Linked DNA regions of Diceros bicornis minor. The protein of the gene in region 2 purifies or fractionates together with the protein of the main gene of each other region. This does not show direct contact. Links are inferred from orthologs where the notes say so. Each region holds a gene or a part of one and is shown on either strand. Other genes may lie near its edges.

Region 1 (9,307 bases), on a different chromosome or scaffold from region 2:
GGAAAACCATATGCCTCTTTGGGATTTTAAGTCTTATGGTAAAGTAATCAGGTTATCTTGGTGTAGGTTAGCAATTTCCAAATCTAATTCATCAAAGCATCCTTTTCTTTCCAGCCATATCTAGTAACATTTCATGAAATCATACGTCTTGGATCACATTTTGGAAAACCAGGGAGGTGGCCTGCACAATGGTTGTGGAGTCAGGACACCTGGGTTTGACTCCCGGCTCTGCCATCCTACTGCTTGTATGACCCTGAGCAAATCACGACATCTTAATATTTCACTTTCACATTGGAAGAGTGAGGACGATAATACCTATCTTAATCCGGGTTGTTTTGTGGATTAAATGATATTTTTATGACTGTGCTTTAAACACTATAAAAAGTTACACAAATGAAAGGTACCATTAGATATCACAGAGAAATAGAAGGTTACATTAGGAAACTAATAATGTACGAGCATAAAGACACTTGCCCTAGCAACCCTTACTCAACAATTGTGTATTTAAATCTACTTAGGGGCCAGAACTGAAAGGGGAACCAGGAAGCACAGTACTGCAAAGGTCAAAGTAGGATTAGAGCACGTTGGATCCAGAAATGTCTTTGGTGATAATTGAATTTAACCTATCTATAGATGCTGAAGCTGAGGCCCAGTGGGGCCAAATAAATGGTTTACGGTCACTCAGAAGGTTAATATTAGAGACATCTGATTCCCATCCAGTGATTGGCCTCATAGCCAAAGGCTGCCTCAATATAAGACAAATCACGGCCCCGTGAAATTTTCAATCTACTTAGGAAGGACAGATATACAAATGGCATAATCAGAAAACAAGGCAACATGGAATACAATTTTAAAGCTCAAAAAATGTGGCTGATGGTAACTATGTAAGGTGATGGACATGTTAATTAGCTGGACTGTAGTAGTCATTTCAAAACGAATATGCATATCAAAACATCATGTTGTGTATCTTAAATATATGCAATTTTTTTTTCTCTTGAAATGTGGCTGAAGTAACAGGGGCAATGAGAATCGAGAAATGAGGCAGCCAAGCAGTCAGGCTGAACCGGAGACAGGACCGGAACTGGGGCCTGGAAGCATGCACCGCACTGTGCTGGATGTGGGTACTCTAAGACGAGAAACAGCAGCGCTCCAAGATGGAACTGGGCATGACAGCAACAGACTAAATGGCTGGCAGTAGTCTGAATAATCAGGCATCACAGTTTTGGTGAAACATTCAACAGTAAGCATTTACTGGACACTTCCAAAATCGATGAAGTTTCTGAAGCTTTGGGGAGGACATGAGAAGTAGACAACATGGTCTCTGACTTTAGAAAGCTTATTTTTGTATTTGGAGAGAAGAGATGGGAACATGAGAAAAATTGGAGAATGTAAGCAAAAGTCAGTATACAATGCAAAGGGGTGAAATATGTGAAATAAGGAAGGATTTTTGGAGAAGATGAATCTTGAGTTATCCCTTAGGAGAACCATGGATGTGATTGGAGTCTGGAAGCACGTGGAATAACCTGTCATCCCCTGCATTAAGAGGGGAATTTCAATATGCATATACTATAGGACTATGGATTTATTCCTCTGTACTTGATCTTTATTAACTAATTAATTTTTTCTCTGTCATTTTTTATAGTAAATCAAACGGTGGACTAGAATGCTTCATTAATTATGATTGCCCATACAGATTTGAACCCAGAATAGAGAAGGCCTGCTCTTATTTGTGTCTGATGATTTGTTACTTCTTCCTCTTTTACCTCTATCATGTTCCCATTCTTCCTAGAGTGGATAATGGATCTAATTAAAAGAGCATAAAAGGTAAGATTAAGGAATCATTTTAGACTCTACCCTGCTAGTCACCATTCCTTCCAGCTAACCAGTTCCCAAGCCCCACGGACTTTTGACATTCTAAATAACATTCTCAACCTGTTCTCTGCTCTGTATTTCCTCTGCCACTGGATTCAGATTTTAACCATTTCTTACCTCATTTATGCAATAACATTGCAACTGGTTTCTAGGTCTTCCTGCCCCCAGTCTCTCTCTCTTCTTCATATATTTTTTTTTTTTTTTTTTTTTTTTTTTGTGAGGAGATCAGCCCTGAGCTAACATCCGCCAATCCTCCTCTTTTTTTGCTGAGGAAGACGGCCCTGGGCTAACATCCGTGCCCATCTTCCTCCACTTTATATGGGACGCCGCCACAGCATGGCTTACCAAGCAGTGCGTCGGTGCGCGCCCGGGATCCGAACCAGCGAACCCCGGGCCGCCGCAGCGGAGCGCGCGCACTTAACCGCTTGCGCCACCGGGCCGGCCCCTCTCTCTCTTCTTCAATCCTCAATTTCATCTCTCACACAATCAGAATTACTTTTCAAAAATGCAAATCTGCTTTCTACCTCCAGTAAAAATCCTCCTAAGTTTCTTTTTAGACTACAGGCAAAGTCCAAACTCTTTGTCTGGCATACAGAACCTTTCTGGTCCTGGCTCCTGCTTACCTCTCAGTCTCATCTTTGGTCACTGCCAAACAAAAATTGACTCCCATCCATAAGTGTGGTATTTTTTTTTTTTTTTTTGAGGAAGATTGGCCCTGAGCTAACATCCATTTGCCAATTTTCCTTTTTTTTTTTTTTTTTCCTCCTCAAAGCCCCCAGTATGTAATTGTATATCCTAGTTGTAGGTCCTGCTAGTTCTTCTAAATGGGACGCCGCCTCAGCGTGGCTTGATGAGCGGTGAGTAGGTCCACACCCAGGATCCGAACCAGCAAACCCAGGGCCGCCAAAGCAGAATGCTCAAACTTAACTGCTGTGCCACCAGACCAGCCCCTCATGATTTTTTTTCATGCTGTAAAGTTGCTTGGCTTATTTCAAACTGCTGAACTCCCTACTCATCCTTCAAAACTTCCTAATTCCTGGTCACTTCAGCTGTGCGTTCCCTTTAGCTCCTTTTCCATATTGCTAATACAGCGCTTTTTAGAGGTATCACAATCGATTGTTAAATCTGCCTTTTCTACTGAGCTGTGTGTTTCTTAACAAAGGACTTTCAGACTTTTAGTGCTGGCACATAACGTCCTTTAGAAGAAATGTACCTAGTGAGGTCCACCCACCCCTGAACTCCAGACTTGAAGGGGTCAAAAGGAGAACTGTGAGGAGTTAAAATCATCAGGAGAGAGAGTGAATTAGACTTACAGAAAACGAAAAAGAGGAGGAAAAAGAAAGGAAAGGTAATATATGGCCTTGCCAAGATGACAGGGAAAGGATGTTCATCAGGAGACAGTTACTTCCACAACAGGAAAGGACTTCAACTGCTAAAAAGGCCAATCTATTTTCCTTTTCAGGGAAAACAACACTAATGTTATCCAAATCTTTTGGAAATGAGCAAATTCCTTCCTTTCCCCTGCCCTCAAGCCTCCACTAGGAGAATGGTCTTTAGTACGCGGCGACCTGGAGCTGGTAGCCCAGCAGGGGAGTTCACAGGCCCGGGACGAGAAGCCCAGCCTCCGGGCTAGCTAAGGGAACCAAGAAGAAACCCACCTTTGTTCTTTAATATTTTACCTGGGCAATGACAGATCTGACATTAAACCTCCAGAAAGCTGGTTAAACCATAACAGTGTGGAGAAGTGGAGACCTCAGAAAGTCTTCTGAAAACACCTCGTTGTAACCTAACCATAAAGTCACTTGGGTGGCCAATCCTGAAAAGTGGAGTCTGTTCTAGGGAGTCCTTCCCAGCCAATGGCACCAGCCAACAAGTTTTGTAATATCAAGGGACAGAAGGTCATTTATTTTTCTGATCGTGAAATGAACATAAGACAAAAGGATTTCATTTTACAAAGCGTTCAGATTTTTTAAAAAGGTAAAGTCATAATTAAAAAGCCTTTAGAAAAAGCACTTAATTTCATTTCCTGAAAGCTTCCAATAACGTGTCTGGTTCTTAGCGGGGTTAACGTCTTGGTCATCACTAATTTGTAGATGAGGAAACTGACAAGCTCAGGAAAGCCATCAGTTACCTTTAAGCAAGTGGCTAAGGTGTAATTTGAATATAAGTCTCCTACCCCCAGTTTCTGAGCCCGTTCTCGACCGTGGTTATCCCTTCCAACAGCACTGCAAATAAAATCTAACAATGGTGTTACCGGAGTATTTATACCTTTCAAGGCAAGGAGAATCTTAGAAATAGGCAGGAAAATAAAATGGATAGGGATGAGGATGAGGGGGCACTGACGCCACTTTTCATTTATTCAGAGGCTAGCCTGAGAGGAGGTCATTTAAGACATCACTTCTCCAAAACAAGGAAATTAACAATGCAGAATGGCTACGTGAGACTTGACAAAGTTGTTAATACGGCGAAAGCCCGAAGAGATACACCCGGGGCTGCTACTTCATTTATATCAGCGATTAGACAACCACAACAGGGGGCAGAGGCAGGTAAGAAGCAGGCTCTCGCGTGGCTACCGCAGCTGATAGTCCTGGCACTCGGCGTTCCAGATGCTTCCTTACAGTTTGCCTGTCTGGGTGGCTCGGTCTCCATATTCCACCCATTTCCACCTCCACGTTTCGGTCTCGCTCATGGGCACCCCAGACGCGAAATACGCCAGGAAAGGCAAAGATCGTGCTCATCTCGTTCAGGGCGGTTGTCTTTTGTGGGAGGCAGCCGCCCGAGGTGCCCTTTCTGGCCACCCCCGCGCAGTCCTCGCCCGCCGGGCCGCGTGCCGCGTGCCGCGCCCGGAGGTGGCCTTTCCGCACGGCCCAGCCGGCCGCCCCGCGCGTGCGGCCGTGGGGCGCGGGCAGAGGTGACCTCAGACCACCCCGAGCCCGACCGCGGCGCGCTCCGTGCGAATACGCGAGGCGCTGTCCTGAGGTGACACCGGCTGCGCAGCAGAGGCAGCAGGCGCCGCCGATCAACTAGTTCGCACCGAGGATTCCTCTTGGTGCGTGGCCCAGTTTTCCTTAGGACGGGCTCCAACCCCTCGCTGACACCGCCCCCCGCGCCGCCACGCTCCGAGGCCTTCCCCCGGGAAGCCTCGCGTCCCTCCCCCGCCGCTCGGCTCGGGCCGGCGCGCGCGCGATTCCTCGATTCCACAGGCGGTTCGCGCCGCGGGTGGGGGCGGGGCGCGCGGGGAGGGGGCCGGCCGCCGCGGAAGGAGGGGGGCCGCGGCTGGGGGGCGGGGGCGGGCCGGCGTGGGGAGTTCCTCGCTCGCGGACCACACGCTCTGCGGGCCAATCCCGAGCCAGCCTCTAGCAGTGTCGCACGCGGGACACGTCCAAGCGTTTGCTGGCAGGGCCGGGGAGGGGGAGGGGGAGAGGAGGAGGGAGGGGAGTTGAGTGACAGGCTTGCGGGGCAGGCTGGGAATTGTAGTTCCCAGCTCCCGTGGCCATAGCCATTTTGTAGTCGGGGGACTACAACTTCCAGAAGATCAAGGGGACCATTCTAAGGTGCCCCGGGAATAGGCGGCCCTCCCCCAGGCCGGGCGTCCTGGGGCACTCGTACCCAGCAGCCCGGCTGCAGGTAGACGCCAGGGCAGTGGCGGGGGCCAGCGTGTGGCGGCTGTGGGGTGAGCGGCAAGCTGGGGAAAGGGGGTGAGGTGGAGCGACCGAGCGTGCCATGCATTGAGCTAGGGAGCCTCTCTCAATTCCACTCCTAGGCTCGGCGTGGGAGCGATGCCTGAGGGCTTGTCTGGGAAGGGTTCGTCGAGGCTTCTCGGGTGTCTAGTCGACGGGGCTGCGGGGATCCTCAGTACTGGGCCAGGGGCGGTCGTCGCCGGGCTAGGCGGGCGCCTGGTGGCTCAGCTGTGGGAGTTTTCGGCTAGCGTCCGGCGGGGAATTACTCGAGGAGCCCTAACTTGTATAAAAGCAGAGTCCATTTAAAGTTGGGCTGGATAGCCTCTCTCTCATTGGTTAGGGGGCTTGGAAAAAAGAGACTCGGCGAGCCCTCGCTGTGGTGCTGCCGCCGCCGCCGCCGCCGCTGGAGTTGACTCTTCTGCTCGCACTGCTGCTGCAGCACAAACGTGACTTCCAACATTTTTTATTTATCTTTCCCTTTTCTTTTCCAAGATGTAACTACAGATCAGACACTAAGGACCTTCACGTTTCGCTGATGTAGTTTTTGGAGGAAAAAGGGGGGGAGTGAAGGGCGTCGGTTTTTTTTGTGTGTGTGTTTCGGGGGAAATTTTCCATTATGAGTGTTTTACTAAAGTGAATTTTTTTTTGTTGTTTGCTTCGTTCGTCTTTGGCTCTTTTTTTTTTCCTTCCCAATTTCGGATTTATTTTAAGGCGAATCGGGCTTTGGGGGAAGAGGAAGAAAAGTCGGATTACAAGATCAACCACCACCAACAACAATAAAAACCACCAGGATATTTTTTTGCAAATTTCTGACGGCTTTAAATTCATGAAGCAATTGTCCCCTTTTGCAATCAGCATTTGGATCTCAGAATGAGCAAGGAAAGACCCAAGAGGAATATCATTCAGAAGAAATACGTAAGTGCTCGTAACAACACATCCTTTGACTTGCAGTTTTAAGCAATGGCTGTGAATGTCAAGTTTATAGATAATTCTGCAGCTGAAGGGTTTTAAACACAGCGTCCGATAAGGCTGTTTCTTTCTTTTCTGAAAGAGGGCTTTTCAGGCAAAGTCGTGTCTGCCTAGTTTGGATGAAAAAACATATTGGTGTAGCGATACCTCAAGTGAATATATTGACCTCGAATGACACAACCATAATCTAGTTTTAGATGAAAGGCAAGGGATTTTGGTGGAGCTTGGGGGGGCTGGGGGCTGCGGTAATGTAACTAAACTGCATTCTCAGGCGGATTTGGCCCCATATTGCACTTTGCATGCAAATGAGCCTGTGTTATTATTATTAATGTTATTTGGAAAATCGTGTAACGCGGGTGTGTTGGAAGCCCTTTAAGTTGCAATCGAGGGTCCGATTATGGCGATCTCGTTCCTTGCACTGGCACATCAAATTTAATGTATGTGGTCGTTTTGGCTTATCTGGTTCGCAGCATAAACCAGTTGGGAATCATGTTACAGCGAATGCATTTGTTGGGATTGACTTTAATAATGGGACTGGTTTTGTTTAAAAATTCATGGTTTCCAGTTTTAGGGGAAAAAGACATACAATATAGCTAATGTTTTTAAGTAGATATGTGAATGCATATGTAAGTGACTACAAATTTCTCTCTGTTCACTGGGCTTTGAATCACTGGGCTTTGAATCACTCTGAAATTGGGTGATTATTCAGAGATTTAAATGGTTTGGAATAGTTAAATTTGTTTTGTGCATAGTACAGCTACGTTTTGATTGGCATGGGGAGTGTTTTTGTTTTGTGTGTGGTGGCTTTTTTTTTTAAGTTTGGGGGGAGGGAGGGAAGAGGGGGACCGAGGGATTAACCAAATATGCACTCGAGTGATCCGTGATTAGCTGCGTGCTTTAAATCAGAGAACCCATTTTTTCAAAAAAAGGCCAAATGAACATACATTAGGAAATAATAGAACGTTATAAGAAAGTTTTATTTAACTCGAGTCAACAAATTGGTGTTCATATTTTCCCTTTTTGAGCAATGTGATGTGGGTAATGGGAGATGACCTTCGGGGCATTGGTTTTGTAAAAAATACATTTAATGGAAAAGCTGAATGCCTCTTCTGGAGGGCTGATCCTAATCTAGACACGTAAAGTTCAACTATGAAAGAAATGCAAGGTTAAATAATCGAGCCCAACTTAAAAAGCTGTACCCTAAAGAATTTAGAATTAAAATACATCCGCATTGCAGAGGACTGGGTAGAATGCAAAGGACGAGTTTAAACTCGGGCTGTAGAAACTGCATGGAGACAATCTTGCCTGGGAGCGTGGACGCCTTCCCGGGGCACGTCCGATTCGGGTGCAGCCACAAAGCAGATGGGCTAGAACTTGGACAAGAACCGCTCTCTCCACTCCTCCCCCCCACCCCACGCCATCCCAGACCTCGCCGAGTTGGAGAGCGGTGTGGGGTGGGATTTTTTGTTGCCGGTGGTCAGCGGATGGTGTCGAGTCCGGGCGTCCGGCCGCAAGCCCGGGGCCGGCGGCGGCCGCGGGAGGCAGAGCACGAGTTACCGCTGGGGGAGCGGAGCCCGTGTTCCCGACGTGCTCGCGCGGGCTGCGGCGGGGAGGGCGCGCGGGGGTCGCGGCGGGCTGGGCCGGGTTGGGCGGGCGCGCGCGCGGCCTGTAGGGGGCGGGCTGCGGGCTCCGGCTCGGCTCGGGCTCCGGGCTCCGGGCTCCGGGCGCCGGCCGGCTGCGGGTGGGTGGGGCGCGGGGCGGCGCGGCCCGCTGGGCCCGGGGGAGGGGAGCGGCGCGGGGCGGGGGCGTGCCGGGGGGCGGCGCGGCGCACAGCTGCAGCGGGCGCCCCCCACCGCGCGCACAGCCGAGCATGGCGGCGGCGGCCCGGCCGGCTCCCCGCGGCCCTGCCCGCGGCTCCAGTGCGGTCCCGAGAGCAACAGGTTAAGCCGGCGAGACGTCAGCGCGCCCCCTCCCCGCCCCCCGGTTCCTCCCCCGCCTGGCGCCGGCCTCCCCGCCCTCCGCCCCCCGCCGCTCCGGGTTCCCGGACGCTCCCGGCCGCGTTCTGTTGTCATTGTGACGTCACAAAGGGAAGGGCCCGGGTGGAACCTTCTCCTCCTCCTCCGTGACGTCAAAAGTCGGGCGGGAGGTTCCAGAGCGGCGGGGCGGCCGGGGGAGGAGGGAGTGGGGAGGAGGCGGGGGTTGCGGCGGAGCGGGGCTGCCGCGTGGGAGGAGGAAGAAGGGGAGGAGGATGCCATCGGTCTCTGCCTTCCGCCCCGAAACGCTGCGCTTCCCTCCAGGTGAGAGCGGGGAGCCCTTGGTCCCCACGGGAGTGCCCCCGACCCAGTTCTGATTCCATTTAGTGGATGGAGGGGAGCAGGAGGAGACGCCTTCTTTCTGCAGAAATGATTCCTCTGTTTCCAGGTCTGCTGATGGGGTGGCGTTACCACTGTGGTAGTTGTGTTTGCTCACCAACGCTTTGGAAAAGCCAGGAAACTTCATTCAGGGAAAGCCTTGCTCTGTAGGAGCACCATGTTGTAGATTTGGCCACCTTGTCACTTTAAGTCGTGTTTGGGGTGTCTTTGCAGAATGTGGCCGGATGCTTTTCTGGGTGATGCTGCACAGTAGAAACTGTTGCTCTTTCTGAAAGCCTTGCAATACCACGGAGGCGAGTGGCGCTCCTTCGCTGTGCCAGCTCTATATGCCTATTGAGTATCTTGGGGAGCCAGACGAGGGAAGACTTGTCATTAATAGGAGAGCACTGAAGTCTGAAGGTGTTCTGGGCTTAG
Region 2 (9,226 bases):
CTCAGGCTGTGAGAGTTTAGGAAACTTGCCCAAGATCATTTAGCTAATGAAGTGGCAGAGGCTGGACAGCAACTGAGGTGCTCTGTCCTCCAGGGTTCCTGCATCTGCTACTCTGCCTCTCATCTCACGCTCTTGCTCTTACCTTGTTCGCATCTTTAAATGCTCACTGTACAAATTAGCAGTGTGAAGCAGATAAGTAGGTTTATCTTTTTTTCTATTGGATAATTCTCTCTTTCTCTCATCTCCTCCCTGCAAAAATCAAATTTTGGTGATTTAATTTTCAAAAACTTGTGTCATAAGCCGGGTATGCAGAGATGGGAATTGGAACCTAGCTCTTGTGACTCTTTTTTTTTTTTTTGTGAGGAAGATCAGCCCTGAGCTAACATCCATGCCGATCCTCCTCTTTTTTTTGCTGAGGAAGACAGGCCCTGAGCTAACATCTATTGCCAATCCTCCTCCTTTTTTCCCCTTTTTCTCCCCAAAGCCCCAGTAGGTAGTTGTATGTCATAGTTGCACATCCTTCTAGTTGCTGTATGTGGGACGCCACCTCAGCATGGCCAGATAAGCGGTGTGTCGGTGCGCACCCGGGATCCGAACCCGGGCTGCCAGGAGCGGAGCGCGTGCACTTAACCGCTACCTTGTGACTCTTAATTGAGTGATTTGTTTTGACTGCACACATACTTTTCAATCACTCACCTTAAATTTTTGACTGCCAAGACAGCAACAATATCACCTGGTGACAGCACACGCAAAGTCTTCTGGGGTTGGGGTACGGGGAAGATGATTTGAAAAGACTGAGGAAGGTGCATGTGCTTTTAAAAGGCTCATATCCATTTTCACAATGCAAGTAATGAAGGGTGAATTTGGAAATGATGGGCAATAAATTGATAATGGGCACATTATATTTTAAGATGTATTATACAAGGAGTCTAAATTTGCTATAAATACTTTTATAACAAATTACTGAGTTTAAAAGCAGTGTTCATGTTATATATAGCCACTTAAGTTTTGGATAAAAAGGAAAGGAATTTTAAAGATTTTATTTATTTATTTTCCTCCCAAAGCCCCAGTAGATAGTTGTATGTCATAGTTGCACATCCTTCTAGTTAATGTACGTGGGACGCGGCCTCAGCATGGCCGGAGAAGCGGTGCGTCGGTGCGCGCCCGGGATCCGAACCCGGGCCGCCAGGAGAGGAGCGCGCGCGCTTAACCACTAAGCCACGGGTCCGGCCCAGGAAAGGAATTTTAAAAAATCCTTTTGATTATTGTGGAAACATTCATTTTTCTTTTGATGTTTCAGATTTCCCTTTTCAGACCAAGGAAAGCAAACTCTGTAAGAACACAGAATGTCCTTCTTTGACCTCTATGACTTGTCTAATTATTTGTATTTCTATCTCGGCACAATGAACAAGGTTAAAAGCCTTCTAGCCCTTTCCCACAAGAGAGTAATAGCTAATAATTGGGAGCTTGCAGGTCTATAAATATAGTATTTTATAACATTCCCTGTGACTTTTCAATGATACATTTTGAGAATTACCTAATGTTTTGAATATTTTGCTCAAATTTTCATTTTTGGTTCTGATTATGGTAGGGAGTTCAATGCTATTACTGAGTTCTGTTACATATGAACACATCTAGATTGTATCACAGTAGACTAAAATATGCTGGGAAGCAGACAACTACAAATTGCAGTGGCTTAACACAACAGAAGTTTATTTCTCCAATTGAATATCCACATGCAAAAAGATGAATACAGACTATACCTCACAGTGTACACAAAAATGAACTCAAAATGGATCACAGACTTAAACGTAAGAGCTAACCCTATAAAACTTATAGAAGAAAACATAATAGAAAATCTTTGTGATCTTGGGTCAGACAAAGAGTTCTTAGATATAACATCAAAAGCATATGGCACTAAAAAAAAGACAAATTGGATTTCATCAAAATTAAAAAACTTTTTGTACTTCAAAAGACTCCATTAAAGAATGAAAAGAGAAGCCATAGACTGGGAGAAAATATTTGCAAACCGTGTGTCTGATAAAGACTTGTAACCAGGATATATAAAGACCTCTTATAACTTGATAATAAGAAGACAAACAGCCCAGTTAAAAAATGGGTAAAAGATCTGAATAGACGCTTCACCATAGAAGATATAAGAATGGCTAATAAGCACATGAAAAGATGCTCAACATCATTTGTCATTAGGCAAATACAAATTGAAACCACTTCACTCCCACTGGAGTGGGAAAAATCAAAAGATAGACAATAACAAGTATTGGTGAGGATGTGAAGAAATCAGAACCCTCACACATTGCTTGTACCTTGGAAAATAGTTTTGCAGTATCTTATAAAGTTAAACATAAACTTACCGTACAACACAGTAATTCCACTTCTAGGAATCTACCCAAGAAAAATAAAAACAAATATCTACACAAAGACTTGTACACAAATGTTCATAGCAGCATTATTCATAATAGCCAAAAATTGAAAACAATCCAAATGTGCATCAAGTGGTGAATGGAAACAAAATACAGTACATCCATACAATGGAGTACTCTTCAGCAACATAAAGTAAAGAACTACTGACACATCGTACAACATGTATGAACCTCAACAATACTGTGCTGAGTGAAAGAAGCTAGACTAAAAGACCACATATAGTATGAGTCCATTTATACAAAATGGCCAGAAAAGGCAAATCTATAGACGGATAGCAGACTGCCTGGGACTGGGAATGGGAACAGGGACTGATTGCAAATGGGCACAAGTATTTTTGGGATGGTGGAAATGTTCTAAAACTGGTTGTGGTGATGGTTGCACAACTCTAGTCTCTGCTTATTGTAGTCATTTAGGGACACAAAATGACAGATGTTCTATCTCACACATGCTTCCATGATCACCACAGCAGGGAGGAGGGGAATGTGCCTCTGCCTCTTAAAGATTTTCCTAGGAAGTGATACACATCGCTCCCCCTCTCATTTTATTGGCAAAAACAAGTTACATGGCCATGCCTAACTTCAAGGGTGCAAGAGGGTGAAATTCTACTATGTGTCTGGAAGAGAGGAGAACCAGAATTTTTGTAAACAACCCAAATGACTGTCACAGAAATAAATAACAACAACAATAAATGGCACAGTTTACTCTGACTGGAGTTACTTTGCTTTGTACTTCTGAGGCACTTGCTGATATTTGTCTCTTCTTAAAGTCCTAATCCATTGCATGTTGCATAGTTAACAGAAATTTCTAAGACCACAGCTATAGGCTTTCTTTGCATTTTACTGTGACTCCCTCAGTGCCCTTGATTCTCTGAGCATCTGGTTTCCTTAAATTAAATGATTGCACTTTTGCACTCATATGTTCACACAGAATAAGTTTTTTTTTTTTTAAATAGACAGGCATCATTCACTTCTCTAATGTATAACGGATTAGAATACTTCTTGTGGCTACAGAGGCCAAAAAGTTAGACCAGTAAGTGAAAATTATCGGAAGGCAGATTGTACATCTATATAAAGAAGAATTTTCTAATTATTAGTGTTTCGGAAATTGAAATGACTGTTTCTGAGGTACTGAACCACTGAAGATGTTGAAGTTGAGGCTTGATGATCGCTTGAGAGAAACACTGAGGAGAACTCAGACCAAACGTTCTCCCAAACTGATGTTCTGTGATTAGGCTTAGCAACACAGGAAAAATACCTGGTTGCATAATGTTTGTATCCATTTTTGGCCTGCACCTATTTTTTTAAGTCAAAACTCTCCTCAACCAAAAGTGTGAAGGGCATTGAGGACGAATTTATGAGAAACTATGTTATAATAGAAGTCACAGAAAGTGAAACTTGAAAAGTAGCAGATAGAGTGAGGCTATAGTTAAGACAGATTTAAAATCCGATTAGGACTATTAGCCAGGAGAAGCAAAGCAGTGGAAAGGTATGACTAAAATAGTTAAAATATTGAAGGATGTGGATAAAATGAATATGTTTATTGACCTAATTCTGAGATCACAGGCTGAGGGAACCCCCTTGGAAATATGAGCAAAGTGAGTTTAGGCCACAAGAGGTACTTTTTCAGCGCGAGAGAAAACATGGTATTAATTATCCCGGTGATGTAATACGAGACAAAAGTATAAAATGATTTTTAAAATATTTTGACAAAGTTACAAACAAAGGTACCACAGGTGGCTACTAAGAGGAGCTGGGTTGTATCGAAGCACAAGTCAAAGAGACAAGCATGCACTCTCAGGCTGTCACCTGAGGCCCCTGTGGGCAGCAGAATATTGGCAGGCTAAGGGTCTGCCCTCGGATGAAAAAGTTCTGTATTCCGAAAAGAAACCACTTTGCACGGAATTATTCTCAGATTTCATCACAATTAGGGAGGATCTGCAAGGAAGATAAACAGAAAAACCTTTCATCGTCAGGGGAAAAAAGTCCGAAAATCTTCTATATAAGCAGCTGCTGCTAAGAAGGAATTTGGGGCTGGACAATAATCGCCGAACACAATTTAATTCTGACATTCAGGGTCTCCTCCCCGCTGAAGGAAATTCGAACAGCAGGCCTCAGCGTGAAGATAGAAGAAACGTGCTTTATCTGAGGTTTTCTCCACGGAAAGGAAATCGGAACGGCAAGAGGTAGAGAGCACCGTCCCATTTCTCAGGAAAAGAATACGCACAGTGAAAGTCAGACGCGACGCTTTCCTTCACGAGAGTCAGCAGTGGCACAGCCAAAGGTCTGGAGCGCAGCGCTATTGTGTTAGCGCCGGCGGCGGAAGGACTTAGCCCCACCGCAAAGTTAAAGAGTCCTTCTTTGTTCAGCTTCGGCCGGGGACGCAGGGCACGGTGTTCTTCCGCGCTGGCAGCGCAGTCCCCGCCCCCTCGCGGCCCTGGAGAGCTGCCATTCGGCACCGGAGTTGCTCCGCGCTCCCAGAATGCACCGGCAGTCCGCGGGAAACCAAAATGGCGAGGGGCTGTAGCGAAGTGGGCTGTGTTTGAGGCCGGTGTAAGAACGCTCACTCTATCCCCAGCCCTCGTCCCCAGGACCTTGGTTTGTGCGTGTGTATGTGTGGGTTGCCTGGTGGGGCGGGTGCCCAATAAGTGCTCGGACTCGCAGGGGAAGCGCCCACGGGGACGTTATTGGTTGTTTTTTCCTGTATGAAGCGGTTGGCACCACTGAAGTGACCGAATGAGGTGAGAGACCTTGGCCTGGGAACCAGGCTCTTCCGGGGGAGGTGGGTGGGGGAGGAAGAAAGGAAGCAAGTATAAAAGGGAAAGATGGAGGATCGAAGTGGGGGTGGGGGCTCCAGTTTGTGTATGTGGGTGTCTTGCATTTATGTATATGTTGAAAAGAATGGATAGAAAGGAGTAGTCAGTTGGGTGTTGGAGAAAATGTGGACTAAAGGAGCGAGCAGGGCGTTGGGGAAGTCGTTTGGAGGAACAAGATGAAGCCTTGAGACGGGGAAGCTGTGTTTGGAGGGGCAGGAAGGAACCTGGGGGCGGGAGACGGTTGGAGGGGCAGGATGAACCTGGTGATGAGGGGGTGGGGAACCGAGAGGAGGAGCCGTTAGGAAATGGGGACTGATGGAGATGTGGGGAGCAGAGTGATGGGCCTGCCTGGGACCTTAGAGGGCGCAAAGGGAAGTAGCAGCTTGGAACCGGAGGGTGGTGGAATTGTATGGAATTGGAGTATGGGGGTAGATTAGAGTAAAAGGGCAGAATGGAGTACGAGGATAAGGGGAACACTAAGTGGAGCCTGGGAGCAAACACTGAAAGCTTAAAGGGAAGAAGTGGGAGGGACAGTGTGAGATGGGGGAGAGGTATCTTATATTTGGAGTGCACCAAAAAATCTGAGGCAATTCTTCTATTTAATGAAATCTAACTCATATCCCCGCTCAGATGTAGATTTGTATTAGTGTATTCATTTTTACAACTGATGTAGTTACGGTTTAAGGGATTTTAACTAATTTGCCAACACAACATATTTTGGTAGTGCCAGAACTCTTAACTCTGTGCGTTTTACAATCTGGTGTCCTTGATGGCTAGAATTTTTCTTTGGAAGCAACTAGAGGGAACAGATGGATTTATCGGGATAATGTGACGATCGGTGAGAGTTAGTGAACAATGGGAAAAAGAATATGGAATGTTATTCTATTCTTTAAAACATTTAACTTTGGTTAAAGATATAACCCATTTACTAATTCAAATATGGAAACCTAGGTAGGCCTATGTATAACGTAAGAAAGCGCCATGTGAGGTCAGTACAGAACTAGAAATATGTAAATAGTGCCTGATTTAATTTGACTCCAGATGCTCCGGTAGTAGTAACTTTCTCCTTCAGATTGATTCCATGTGACCCTCCTGTATACCTTGCCTACAGTCTGGTTTCAATTTCCATGTTTTCATTCTCTTGACAATTCCTGTTTTTGGCAGTGGATTTCAAAGACAGTGAATTTAAAATTATTAAATATGGATAAAGTAAAATATACTTAAATTCTTAAGTGACCTTTCAAAGGTTTGAAAATGGTTTAAATGGAGCCATTTTGATTAACAGCTTTAGGTCCCCAGTCGTTTTGGCAAGGGAAGAATTGATTTTAAATTTCTTAACAGAGCATTATATTCTTGATATTTGAAGTGTTATTCACACTCCAAGCATTTGCAGTGATAGCTTTGAGAGAGAATACCAGGTGAAATTTTTTGTTTTTGTTTTTTTAGGTTCCTAAATATAAAAATGTATTTGAATTCACATTTTAAATTTGCTCACCTTCACTTTTTTTTTGAAGTGCTATAAATATTGTAAAGTATTTGAATTGAGTGCACCTGTTTCCTGATACTGCATATTCACATTAAAGGGTACTAACGGAAATCTGTGCCTATCAGGATGAAATGCACACACAATTTTCGAACTAGAAGTGTAGAAATCATCTGGTTAAACCTTTTCTTAGATGAAATAAAATATATTTAATAATCCTTTTAATTGTGCCTTTTGCCTCAAAGCTCAGTTCGGAAAGGGATTTTATTCTGTGTATTTTGCTGTGGGTCATAAACTCTTTGATGTCATGGATTATAAGTATACCTTTTCATTAGATTCTTGACTGAATGGATAGTTTGCTTTATTCATATTTCACCATAATGTTTACATCTGACTTAGGAAACTGACAGTATGGTGATAATCTATTTTAACATGGGGAAATTTGCCTCTGAGGAGTTGCCCTGGCCGACATCTGTAGCTTGGTGATTCTGAAAGTAAAATTTAACTGCTGTTTTAGTTAGTCTACACTTCCTTGAATGATATTCCTTGCTTGATCTTTTTATGCTCTGTTTCCCCTGTTCTTCAGGATTTGTTTATCGCAGTAAAATACAGTATAACAACCCTCAATTGAAATGTGAAAGGTTTCTGTGGGTGTTTTTTTTTTATGTATTAGGATAGTGCTATCTAATAGAACTTTCTGCACTGATGGCAGTGATCTGTATCTGGTCTATCCAGTTTGATAGCCAATAGCCACATGTGGGATGTTGAACGCTAGAAATGTAACTAGTGAGACTGAGAACTGAATTTATAATTTAATTTAATTCATTAAAACTAAAATTTAAATGGCCATATGTATCTAGTGGCTGCTGTATTGGACAGCACAGTATTAGAGGTTATTACATCTATTTATTAGGAATTGTCACGTCCATTAACCATGGAAACCACAGGAACCAAAGGGTAAGGAACTATCTTAGAACTAAGGAGATTGAAATTTTCTTTGTACATTTTTAAGATGAAGTATTCTTCATTTTTGCCACACACAATGTCTTCTGTCATATCTCTGTTTTCATATAACATTGCAAAAGAATAATGGTCTCAATTTCTCTGGGCTTTTTAATATTTAAGACTCTTTTTCCTTTGTCAAAAAACAACAAAAATGGGTGTTAGGAAAATTAGTTTACTTTGTTATTTTTAAAAAAATTTACCTTGTTACTGTTACAGATCAGTAAAAAAACTTTTTATTAAGGAAAATTTTGAATGTATACAAAGTGAACAGAGTAGTATAATGAACTTTTTTGTATCCATGCTTGTTTCATCTGTACCTCTACCCACTCCCCAGTCTACTTCATTGTTTTAATTATTTTTTAAAGTTTTTTTGAAGTAAAATTTACGTATATTGAAATGCACAAATCTTAACTGTACACTTTTTAAATAATAGATTTATTGAGATATAATGCACATATATTTATATATGTACATAGTTCACAGGTACTTTACCCTTTTAAGGTACAATTCAGTGATTCTAGTATATTCAGAGTTGTACAACCATCACCATTATCTAATTTCAGAACATTTTCATCACCCCAAAATAAAAATCTGTATCCGTTAGCAGTCCCTCTCCATTTTTCCCTCCGCCTTCCTCTGGCAAGCACTCATGTATTTTTTATGTTTATATTTTGCCTGTCCTGGACATTTCATATAAATGGAGTCATACAATTTTGTGGCCTTTCGTGTCTGGCTTCTTTCCCTTAGCATAATGTTTTCAGAGTATATCCATGTTGTGGCACGTGTCAGTACTTCATTTCTTTTTTATGGCCAAAATATATTTCATTGTATGGATATACTACATTTTGTTTATCCATTCATCTGTTGATGGGCTTTTGGGTTGTTTCCACTTTTTGGCTGTTGTAAGTAATGCTACTATGGACATTCATGTATAGGGTTTGTGTGGACATGTATTTCCATTTCTTTTGGGTACATATCTAGAAATGGAATTGCTAGGTCATGATATCTCTATGTTTAACATTTTGAGGAACTGCCAAACCATTTTCGAAAGAGCCTGCACCCTTTTACAGTCTCACCAGCAACTATGAGGGTTCCAATTTCTCCACATCCTTGCCAATACTTATTGTCTGTCTTTTTGATTATAACCATCCTAGTTGGGTGTGCAGTGGTATCTCATGGTGGTTTTGATTTGCATTACCCTGATGGCTAATATTGTTGAGCATCTTTTCTGTGTAGTTATTGGCCTTTTGTATACTTTCTTTGGAGAACTGTCTATTCGGTGCTTTGCCCATTTTAAAAATTGGATAATTTATCTTTTTATTGTTGAGTTGTAAGTGTTCTTTATATATTTTGGGTACAAGTCTCTTATCAGTTGTATGATTTGCAATTATTTTCTCTTGTTTTATGGGTTGTCTTTTCACTTGATGGTGTCCTTTGAAGCACAAAAGTTTTTAGTTTTGAAGCAGTCCAATTTATCTTTTTTT

What was found.
Region 1: the proteins of MTF2 (region 2) and JARID2 purify together in Homo sapiens (affinity purification with mass spectrometry; 3 studies listed by BioGRID and IntAct, with this or other methods). This does not show direct contact. The link is inferred for Diceros bicornis minor from reciprocal best matches to the Homo sapiens genes MTF2 and JARID2.

The regions. Positions count from the first base shown.
Region 1 is NC_080753.1:51,773,577-51,782,883, reverse strand, and holds the start of JARID2 (protein Jumonji), read left to right. Parts: upstream 1-5,435; 5' UTR 5,436-5,499; intron 5,500-5,525; exon of another isoform or gene 5,526-5,545; intron 5,546-5,774; exon of another isoform or gene 5,775-6,263; 5' UTR 6,264-6,422; coding exon 6,423-6,467; intron 6,468-8,799; exon of another isoform or gene 8,800-8,818; intron 8,819-9,307.
Region 2 is NC_080743.1:29,191,222-29,200,447, forward strand, and holds the start of MTF2 (metal-response element-binding transcription factor 2), read left to right. Parts: upstream 1-4,934; 5' UTR 4,935-5,174; coding exon of another isoform or gene 5,175-5,179; intron 5,180-9,226. UniProt on the Homo sapiens protein: Polycomb group (PcG) protein that specifically binds histone H3 trimethylated at 'Lys-36' (H3K36me3) and recruits the PRC2 complex, thus enhancing PRC2 H3K27me3 methylation activity.